Arabidopsis thaliana: one gene and its partner. The protein of the gene in region 1 interacts with the protein of each later gene in a pairwise test. Each region holds a gene or a part of one and is shown in the gene's direction. Other genes may lie near its edges.

Region 1 (4,885 bases):
ATGTCTTTATCTCTCTAACTTGGTAATGAATCTCATAATGGTGTTTCTCTGACAGATGATATTGAAGTGAGTGGGACTGAGAGGAGATGAGTCAGAACATGAATGCAACAGTTGATGCAGTTCAATGAGATTGAGGTAAAATCTGAGAAACTGCATGTGATGTATCTAACTCTTCCATTTTGTGGGGTCCCTCTTCTACAACACTGTTGAAACCCAATTTGTGTTTTCTTCTTTTCTTTATTTAATTTCTCCTCCTCCTCTTACTTCAGATTTGACCAACAACACCAAGCCAGTTTCAGAGAGTCTCTGCAACAATGGAGAGGTCACGGGTCAGAAGAAAAATCATTGCTTTACATTGAGTTTGTGGTCTAATGTTCATCATCATTAACAAGATTGAATCTTTTTACTCTCTAGCTAGGACCAACAATGAAAAAGCAACATATTAGTCAAATCTTTAAAGATGATTTCTTAAAGACTTACCCTTTTGTTTGATCTTTTTCAGACACAAGGCAAAAAAAGACGTGTCACTTCCCCTGCATATCTTTTCATTACCAAGCCTGTCTCTCTCGTCTATCTTTCTCTCTGTGTTTCTTTTTGAGGAAGAGCAGAAGATTGTGATAATGAAGAGGGAGAAGAATCTGGAGTTGTGAGTTGGATCTGAAAGTGCTTATGGACATTAATTTGTTTTTAAAATAGTGATTAAAGAAATGGTTAAGAGAGAAGCAGCCTGGAGATGGTTAATGTCTAAACATGTACCAATGTCATTTTATAATGATCACCCACTTAATCAAAAACCATTTTATAATTAACTTAAATTTATAATCTTGGATTCTCCTTTATGTCATTTGTTTTTAGCTCTCCTCTCTCTCTTCTCTCAACCTCCTCTGCATTTTCTGGAAATTTTTAATGAGTTTTTTTTTCTTCTTTAGTTTACCAAGAAGACTCCAGTTTTTATTTAAGATCGAGTTATTAGAGAAGTATAAATATAACATGGGTTACATTGGATTTAAGAGAGTTAAATAGACAAGAGTCAGATTTAAGACATTGAACTTTGAGCTTAAAAGAGGTTGTAGGATTGAAGAAAGGGAACCATTTTCAATTTTCTTAGTACTTTGGTTGTTTGTCATTTACTGTTTGTATTTTGTGGTCTATAGAAAACTCCAAACATTGTACTATATTGAGTATTGAATCATATAATACTATCATTGCTGCAATTAATAGGAGAAAAATGTCAAGAGAATATTTTACGTAAAACATATTTTGGGTTCTAAGTAAGTGAAATTCCTTCCACTATGTGATTATGAACTAAATTTCTAACAATAGTACTAACATAACATAAGTAGTAACCTAGTAGTATTTGACAATTTTTCTTATCAATAACATTTTAGTATATTGTAATTTGTAAGATAAACTCCTCATAATCGAGTAATTATCTTTTTTTTTTAATTCAAGGTGGTGCATGTATGTATGTGTACACTGACACAACATTTGAAATCTGATTTCACAGTGGGAATTGGTCCAAGACCAGTCCACTTGTGACTTTTTATTTATTTACCCCACACATTTTCACATTTATCTACAATCATAAGGGACTTTAAAAACATACACATTACACACACACACACACAAAAACAAAAAATTTACCATCAAAATCTTGGAGTGTGTGACGTATGAACAAAACAAGATTGATACTGTATGTAGAAAAGTCTCGTTATCAAACGATGTGGAAGCGTTTATCAAACGCTCAAGGATAAGTCTCGTTGTTTCCATACCTAAAAACGGCAACCACTGTATATAGAAAAGATGTAAACGTCAAAACTGAAGAAGTTAGAAAGACGAGGGTAAATTAGTAAAATAGTCGAGATCATATTAAAGTCCTAACGGTATATCACACACCGTTGAATTCCAGATCCGACCAGATAAGATCACGTCGAATCGAACGGTCATAAAATATCCGAGTAGTTGCTGAAGTATCCAGCGGTTTCGCCACGTGTCCCGACCATGTCGCTCACACGTTCGTATTTCTCTATTACAAAAAAAAGGAAACGAATCAAAATGTTTTTTGATCGTAACCGGGAAAAAAAAAACGATTTTTCGCAACGAAACTTTCCACAATCAACGGATATAGAGAGAGATCTCTGCGAATCGTTTAAATCGTCTTCTAATTTCGTTTCGGTCTCTTCGTAAAGGATTCACCTTTGAGTGGTTTTGCGTTCCATTTTATTAGGTACGTCAAGCTCGAAACTTTCGATTCATTGGCTTTCGTAAATGTGATTAATCTGGGAATTGAGTTGAATTTAGAGAACCCTATTGCTTCATTTTTGTTTTCGTATTTTGGTTTTATTGAATTTGCCTCTGGTTCTTACTGGAATGGTGGTTGTTTAGTCTTGAGATTGATCCCATGTGAAAAGTTAGTATTTTTGTGGCGTCGTCATGGATTTGGAGAGTGAAAGCTCTGTTCTTGAATCTGTTGAAGATAATAATGGTTTGATTGGTGATCTTGATAAAGAGTTGAATTCACCGGTTGAGACTTCTCCTCTTATATCAAAAGGATTTGGTTTAAGAAAATGGAAGAGGAGGTTAAGGAGAGATCTTGTTAAGGATGATACTTCTGTGAGTATGGAGAATAGTAAAGCTCTGAAGAGGGTGTTGTCAGGATTAGTTGATCCGAATGCTAAACAAATGCATTTGCCAGGACCTGAAGTTAGACAAGATAGTGTTGGTTCTGTTGGCTCGGTGAATAGTGTGGTTGGTTTTGTAATGGGTGGGGAGAGTTATGGCAATGGTCTTGCTTTTGCAGCTGGTGTTGATTCGGATAACAGTGAGGATCGGAGTAGTACAATGAGTCATTCTTGGGACAAACATAGAGGAAAGGTCTCGGGTGGGAAGAGTGTGATTAGTTCGGGGGATAGTAGTCAACAAAGGAAGAGTAGTGTAGAGAAGAGTAATAAACTTAGAGGAGAAAGGATCAAAATTGAGAAGGAAAACTCTCATTCCAGCATGGAATCTGCTGACTCAAGAAGCTCCAACTTTGTGTTTATGCAGGGTGCTTCCTATAGTTTGAGTAGCAGAGAACAAGGCGGAAGAAGAATGATGGATTATGACGATGAAAATAGTGATCATGACGCACATACTTCGAAGAGAAAGGATAACGTGGAAGAAGAAGAAGAAGAAACAGAAGACTATTCACAAGGAGACTGTGTTGAAGAGTCTCAAATCAAGAGCAATGGTTCATCAGACAATCTGGATCCATTAATAGTAGCCGTCAACAGTTTCCAGACTTTGCAAGAAGCCCTCCAAAAAGGTATCAATTTCATAAATACAGATTTTCATTTGGAATTTGATTGTTGCTGCATTGTAGTAGTCCTAATCAACTAAAACTTGAATGACTCTAACACTGGTTCCTTATGATGCCGTGTAATATTAACATGATTGTGTTTCGAGTTTGACTAAACTCCTGTTCTTTTTCCCTTTTCAGAACTTCAAAAATTCCAAGAGCTTGGGAAAGAAGAACCTATAACATCACTGCATGATGGAGGAGAAAGCAGCAGTTGCATACACGCAGGACACGAAGGAGCTAGTGAAGCAAGCTCTTCTTACCGGTTTGGGTCTGAAAAGATGGGAGAAATGGAATTAACTTCTCTAGATTCCGAGATACTAAACCTGGTGAACAATGTAGAGCATCTGGAGATCAAACTAGAAGAAGCAAAGCGTATTCTCGAGGTTAAAGAAACACAAATCCGTGAACTCGAATCTACCATAAACGTTTCAGAGACGTGTAACGGAGGAACAGAGATCGGGATAGAAGACATCTTCCAGCAAAAGGTGGAGGCAGAGATTGAATATATCATATTCTCAAGATCAGTGGGAAACCTAAAGAGACGGATCAAACTGATTGAAGAAGAGAAGACATTGGGGCTATCAAAGCTTGATAAAGCAGAAACAAAAGCTGAGAATCTAAAGAATCAAGCTCAAGATTTACAAAACCATTGTGTAGAGATCACAGAGATTCAAGAAGTGGAGTGCCTGAAGAAGAGAGCATTTAAGACCACTAGATGTCTTCTTCTACAGTTAGGCTTGCTCTTTATACTGTATTATTCTCTGTTACCAGAACCGGAGATTGCTGTTCCCACATGATAGTTTTGTTTGATGGAATCTGTTTTTATCTATATTTATACAAGTTTTGTATTTATATATATTGTAACATTTTGGCTCCAATAGACCCAACTCTTCTTTGCTTTCTACTTTGTGTTTCTGCGTGCTGCATTGTCATGACGTCAGTGTGTATGTATAAAATTGTTGCCTCTTTGTCAACTTTGCCATCATTTTCCATAATTTCTTTAGTAAATAAGAAATAATGAAATACAGAAGATAAGATATATAAACACACAAGTGAAAAAAGTTTAGATATTCACATGTACAATGAAAATTTGCACATAACCTTTAAATAATTTGAGTCGGTCTTAATATATATTCATTGTAAGCTCTTTAGAGTTTATAAATAAGAAGAATTCAATATAGTTGTGTGAATATATTGTGTGGTGTGTTGTTTGTGATGACACATAGAAGTGGTCTTATGTCATTAGCTGCAAGTGGAGACTTTTGACAATTTGACTATAAACAGCCATCTTAATGTTGGTTTGTTCCAACAACACTTAACAATGCCCACGTCTTGAAGAGTTTTAGATTTGCAAACCAATAATCAATTTGATCAAATATACTTAAAAAAAAGAAGAAGTTATTATTCATCTTAGACTCACTCATAGGTGTCTTAATGTGATGATCTTTGGATTTATATCCAAATCATTTTACAAATTTGGACCTACCATAGTTTGGTCTCTTTTCTTAGTGTAATGAAGAGAGATTTGATTCTTTCTTTCAAATT
Region 2 (5,719 bases), about 19 Mb from region 1:
CTCTAGATTCAATGGGTCCTGTGTTGGTCCACGTGATCACAGAGGGAAACCGAGATGCAGAAACCGTAAAGAACATCATGGTCAAAGGTATATCTGTCTGGTTATGTTATTTTTTCTGAGAATATATGCTTATCCAAAATCTTGACTTTGTAGTTTTTTTTTTTGTCTCAGACAGACGCACTTACAGTGATTGCTTTGTTGAGGCTTTGGTGATGGAGGCAGAAAAGGATAGAGATATTGTTGTAGTTCATGCAGGAATGGAGATGGATCCGTCACTTCTTACATTTCAGGAGAGATTTCCAGACAGATTTTTCAATGTCGGAATGGCTGAACAGCATGCTGTCACATTCTCTGCTGGTCTTTCTTCTGGAGGTCTCAAGCCATTTTGTATTATTCCCTCTGCTTTTTTACAAAGAGCTTATGACCAGGTTTCACTTTCCTCTAGCACAAAATAAAATTGTTCTAAAAGGTTTTTATTACAAGCAAATGGCCTTAGTGTCTTTGATGGTTTCTTTAGGTGGTCCATGATGTAGATCGGCAGAGAAAGGCGGTGCGATTTGTTATTACAAGCGCAGGGCTTGTTGGATCCGATGGTCCAGTGCAGTGTGGAGCTTTTGACATAGCTTTCATGTCATCCTTACCAAACATGATAGCCATGGCTCCAGCCGATGAGGATGAGCTTGTAAATATGGTTGCAACTGCTGCTTATGTCACTGACCGCCCAGTATGTTTCCGGTTCCCTAGAGGCTCCATCGTCAACATGAATTATCTTGTCCCCACTGGATTACCAATTGAAGTAAGTTCCAATCTAATCTTCAAATCTTTTGGTTGCAAAAACAGACCGTGGTGACACAAGAACTGCTTTATCATATTAGAGTAGATCGGAAGAGGAAGAGTTCTCGTAGAAGGTCAAGATGTGGCTTTACTTGGTTATGGAGCGATGGTTCAGAATTGTCTTCATGCTCACTCGCTTCTCTCGAAACTCGGTTTGAACGTGACTGTAGCTGATGCAAGATTTTGCAAACCCCTAGACATCAAGCTTGTGCGTGATCTTTGTCAGAACCACAAATTCCTTATCACTGTCGAAGAAGGCTGTGTTGGAGGGTTTGGTTCTCATGTGGCGCAGTTCATAGCCCTCGATGGCCAGCTCGATGGGAATATCAAGGTAGAGAGACAAATCAAAACCTCATGTTCTCACCTGTTTTTGGTTTTAAGTTGTAATTTTGCTCTTAACATTGTGTAGTGGAGACCCATTGTGTTACCGGATGGCTACATAGAAGAAGCATCGCCTAGGGAGCAGCTTGCTCTTGCAGGGCTAACTGGACATCACATAGCAGCAACCGCTTTGAGTCTTTTGGGCCGAACTCGTGAAGCATTGCTTCTCATGAGCTAGCTTAACCTTCTCATATGGGATTTACCTTCACAAGAGACTTAAAGAGGAGTTTCTTAAACAGAATTTGTAGATAATACATTCTGAATTCAAGAGCCCATTTGATATCCTGATTTTGGAATAGCAATCTGCTATGTATTGTAAATGTAGAGTTGAGAATTGACTAAAATAAATTCAATTACTTTTTAGGCGGTATCTCAGTTTTCATATTCTCAGTTAGTTGTTGTTGTTGTTGTTGTTGTTGTTGTTGTTGTTGTTGTTGTTGTCAAGTCTATTTGGTGTAACAGTCGCATGTCCCAAATCTGGAAACAAACAAAATATAGAACAGAGACGTGTATTTTCGATACTCGAGTTTTTTTTTAATAAAAGCATCTTAAAAAATTAGTAAAGAGTTACTGTCAAACAATATTCGTTTAATTACAAATCCGAGTCCTTCTTCTTCTTCTTCTTCTCGATCTCTGTATCTCTCGATCATTTCCTTCTAAAGGAAGCGTCTTTGATCTTAATCGTCGTGTCGTTCGTTTCTAACTGTAAGTTTTCTCCTTTTCATTCATTTTGCTTCAATCTCGATCGGAATCAAGTAAAAAATCGGAACTTTTACCTAGATTTCCTCAGGAATCGAAAAGTTCTTGTGATTTAGCAGAACCTCTATTGTTTCCGATCTCTTAATTCAATTACTTGACAAAAGTGATTATACTTTCTCTGTTGCAGTTATATTGAAAGATGGAAACAGAAACGGAACATGATAGAACTGTCTCTGTCGATGACAACGACAGCCTTGTACCTGAGCCAAGCTCAACGAAAGAAAGCTTTTTTGAAGATCTCTCGCTTACTGGGCAAGTTATGAATCCTCAACTTTCAAGTGCAGGCGAAGTTTTGACAAAAGTTGAATTGGATTTTGCTTTTGTCTCTGAGAAATTGGTCAATCTTAGTCTTCTTACTATGCAACTCGGCACGAGGGAAAATGATTTTGAGTCTTTTGTTTCTAAGAAAGAAGAAGATGAAGAAGAGCCTTCGAGTAATGTTGATGATGATGATGATTCTGCTGAGAAGGCATTGGAGTTTGATCTCTTGTCTTCAATTCTCAATTCAGAGGTGAAAGAACTTGAATCGCTTCTTGGTTTTCTCCAGAACGAGATTCAAAGCGCCCGTGTCATGATATCTCCGTTTCAACATGATGGAGAAGCTTTCTTGGATTTGGAAGGGAAGTTGAATGATACTGAACAATCTTTGGGTCAGTTAATGGAACAAGTAGTGGAAATGAAGAAGCAATCTTCTAACTTTCAGAGGTTATCTTCTGGTTTGGATGAACAAGGAAGCTGTAAGTGACCAATCTAGCTTTCTTTTTAACCTTGTTGTGATGATCACTTGGTGAGAAAAATTTCAGGCTTTAATGAATACTATATAACTTTGTTTTTGCAGGGTCTGGAGGGCAAACTTCAGTGTCTCAAAACGATGGTGAGTTTGGTGATCTGAGCGCTAAGATCAATATGCAGACTGCTGATCAGCAAAGGAATGTTTTAAGGATGCTTGAGAAATCTTTGGCTAAGGAGATGGAACTTGAGAAGAAACTAAGTGAATCAAGAAATACTGAACGAGAACTAGAGATGAAACTGTATTCTTCTGAGCAGGATGTTGTCTACATGGAAGAAGTAACCGAAGATGCGTTCTCCAGGTGGCTTGAGGCAGATAATGCTGCTGAAGTCTTTAAGGGAACGTCAAAGGAGATGTCTGGAAAACTCCAGATTCTTCAGTTCAATCTAAGTGGCTCTTTTAAGCGGGAAGACAACTTGAAGTCTAAGCTTGTTGATTCAAAGGAACGTTTAGAAGCTAAGGAATGCGCCTTGCACAAGCTTGATAGCAGCAATGCAAGACTTGCTGACTTTCTTGTGGCACAAACAGAAGGCTTAAAAGAGAGTTTGCAAGAGGCTGAAGAAAAATTGATTTTGTTGAACACTGAGAATTCCACATTAAGTGAGAAAGTTAGCTCCCTTGAAGAACAACTGAATGAATATGGGATTCAAACAGAAGATGCGGATGCTACTTCTGGTGCTCTGATAACAGATCTTGAACGTATCAACGAGGAACTGAAAGATAAATTAGCCAAAACTGAAGCAAGGGCTGAGGAAACAGAATCCAAGTGCAAAATCCTAGAAGAAAGCAAAAAGGAGCTTCAAGACGAGTTGGGGAATTTCAGAGACAAGGGCTTCACTATACATAAGTTAGCATCGCTTGAGAAACACTTGAGGGACTCAGATCTACAACTAGAACATGCAGTTGCAGCTGTTGAAGCAAGTAAAGAAAAGCAGAACTTGTTATATTCTACTGTTTCTGATATGGAGGATGTGATCGAGGATCTAAAATCAAAAGTTTTGAAGGCTGAAAACAGGGCCGACATTACCGAAGAGAAGTTGATCATGGTATCTGAGTCTAACGCAGAGGTCAACGAAGAACTGAAATTCTTTAAGGGTAGATTGAAAGAAGGGGAGAAATATTTACAGCAAGCAGAAGAAAGAAAATTGCGAACCGCCAAAGATATCGGGGTACATAACAAGATCATGAAAAAACTGGTCATGCAACTAGCTGCTGAACGAGAACGACTTCATAAACAGGTATTACCATATTCGTAAAACCCCAGTTCGCTGTTAGTTCATGTCCTTGTAGCTTCATCATCATCACAGTGGATTCTTAGATATAGTGACTTATTTGCAGATAACTAACCTGTCAAGAGAGAATTGTGTGTTGATGGTGAAGTTGAAAAAGGTTGGAAAAACTGGTTATATGGAAAGTGGCAATGGAAGTGAAGTTTCACCAAAGTCGGACCAGAATGCTTCTTCTTGCCATCAAGGAAGTAGACTTCAAGCCACCTTCATTTCATTAACTAATCCAGAGGTAACATAATTCTACCTTACAAAAAATCTGATCTTTTGCTGGCATCTAAGTGAGTTATACCATTAAGCTTTAGTCCAACAATCGAATATTATGAATCTAAGCTTGACGTTAGTAACCGTGGTCACCTTTTTGTAGGAGGAAGAAACAGGTTCAAAATCAGATATTGGAAGTGTAAGGAGATTAGATGTTGGAGCTCTTAGGTTCAAACACATTCTCGTTGCAATACTCGTGATCTTAATATCGTCGATAGCTTATGTTATATCCCAGCAAAACATGTAAGAGTCTTTAACTTTTTCCAAAATCTCAGTCTCCAGTTTTGTACTCTCTTTGTCATAGTTTACAATGACAGATTATATTTTAGTTCTTTTTGGCTACCCAGTTACAGAAAATCTGCTATATAATTAACCCCGACACTGGTATTTTGTGTTATTACAATATCTTTTTCAGTGTCAAGTATTAGTACCTCTCTACACATTAGTCCTTAATCTCTGCAATATGATTAAGACCATCCAATACTTGTTGCATCAATGGCCGTTTCTTTGTATTATGCGCTGTGCATCGGTTGATGAGTGTGCCCATCTGTGTCGCCGCATTCGCAGAATAATCGCTCCCAAGTCGGGGATCGATTATTTCCTCAATCTTATAATTATCTGGCAAGAAAGATGAGGTCCAGTAATCTACTAAGCCTTGCTCTTCCTTAATCTTTTTTCTATCCTTGGAACCCATTAAAAGTTCAAGCAAGATCATACCAAAAATGTAAACATCGGTCGTCATATCCAAAATACCTAACACATACATTACACAATTGTCTTAACGTTGAACAACGAAAGATTTTTCAGAATTTGTAAAACGAAAGTTAATGCTTTCGTGTACCTAACGATCCCCATTCAGGAGATAGGTATGTAAATCTTCCCCTCTTGAGACCTTCATCTACCAAGCTTCGTTTGGTTGGTTCGAGATAGAACAGTTTTTGCATTGTATTGCTGATGAAATCCAAACTTAGATATTAATTTCTAAGATCATAAACAAAAAGAGAGAAGAAGGATGGAAATAAAACAATTACCACCTCGTCAAGCATAATGTTATGCATCCTGAGTTCTCGGTTTAGGGGGCTGTTCTTGATCGAGTGAAGAAACGCGAGACCTTGAGCTGTTCCAATGGCTATCTTAACCCGTATTTCCCATGGCAATGCCTCTTCTTCTTCTGTTGAGGGAAACGTAAAACTATAGGTAATGCAATAGTTGTCTATATCTTAGAATGGACCCATTAGCTAGAAAAGATCTTAACTTCCGAAAATGTGACTGTCCAAACTTCCTTTGTGCGAGTATTCAAATACCAAGAAGAATGGTTTGTTGTCTTCACAACAGTAACCCAAGAAATTGACCAAATTCTGATGAGACAACTGTCCAAGAGACCTCACTACTGCCTGCAACTCAT

Evidence for each region.
Region 2: the proteins of WIP2 (region 1) and WIT1 interact in a two-hybrid assay, tested with the Arabidopsis thaliana proteins (one study listed by BioGRID).

Annotation. Positions count from the first base shown.
Region 1 is NC_003076.8:22,749,912-22,754,796, reverse strand, and holds WIP2 (WPP domain interacting protein 2), read left to right. Parts: upstream 1-1,979; 5' UTR 1,980-2,433; coding exon 2,434-3,304; intron 3,305-3,478; coding exon 3,479-4,137; 3' UTR 4,138-4,335; downstream 4,336-4,885.
Region 2 is NC_003076.8:3,631,858-3,637,576, forward strand, and holds WIT1 (WPP domain-interacting protein 1), read left to right. Parts: upstream 1-1,791; 5' UTR 1,792-1,920; intron 1,921-2,101; 5' UTR 2,102-2,113; coding exon 2,114-2,711; intron 2,712-2,812; coding exon 2,813-4,002; intron 4,003-4,102; coding exon 4,103-4,282; intron 4,283-4,417; coding exon 4,418-4,561; 3' UTR 4,562-4,756; coding exon of another isoform or gene 4,757-5,067; 3' UTR 5,068-5,077; downstream 5,078-5,719. Other genes in the region: DXPS3 (1-deoxy-D-xylulose 5-phosphate synthase 3), read left to right, coding at 1-87, 172-428, 518-796, 881-1,165, 1,244-1,393; AT5G11400 (Protein kinase superfamily protein), read right to left, coding at 4,757-5,067, 5,156-5,265, 5,419-5,485, 5,570-5,708. UniProt on the Arabidopsis thaliana protein: Together with WIT2, required for the nuclear envelope docking of RANGAP proteins in root tips.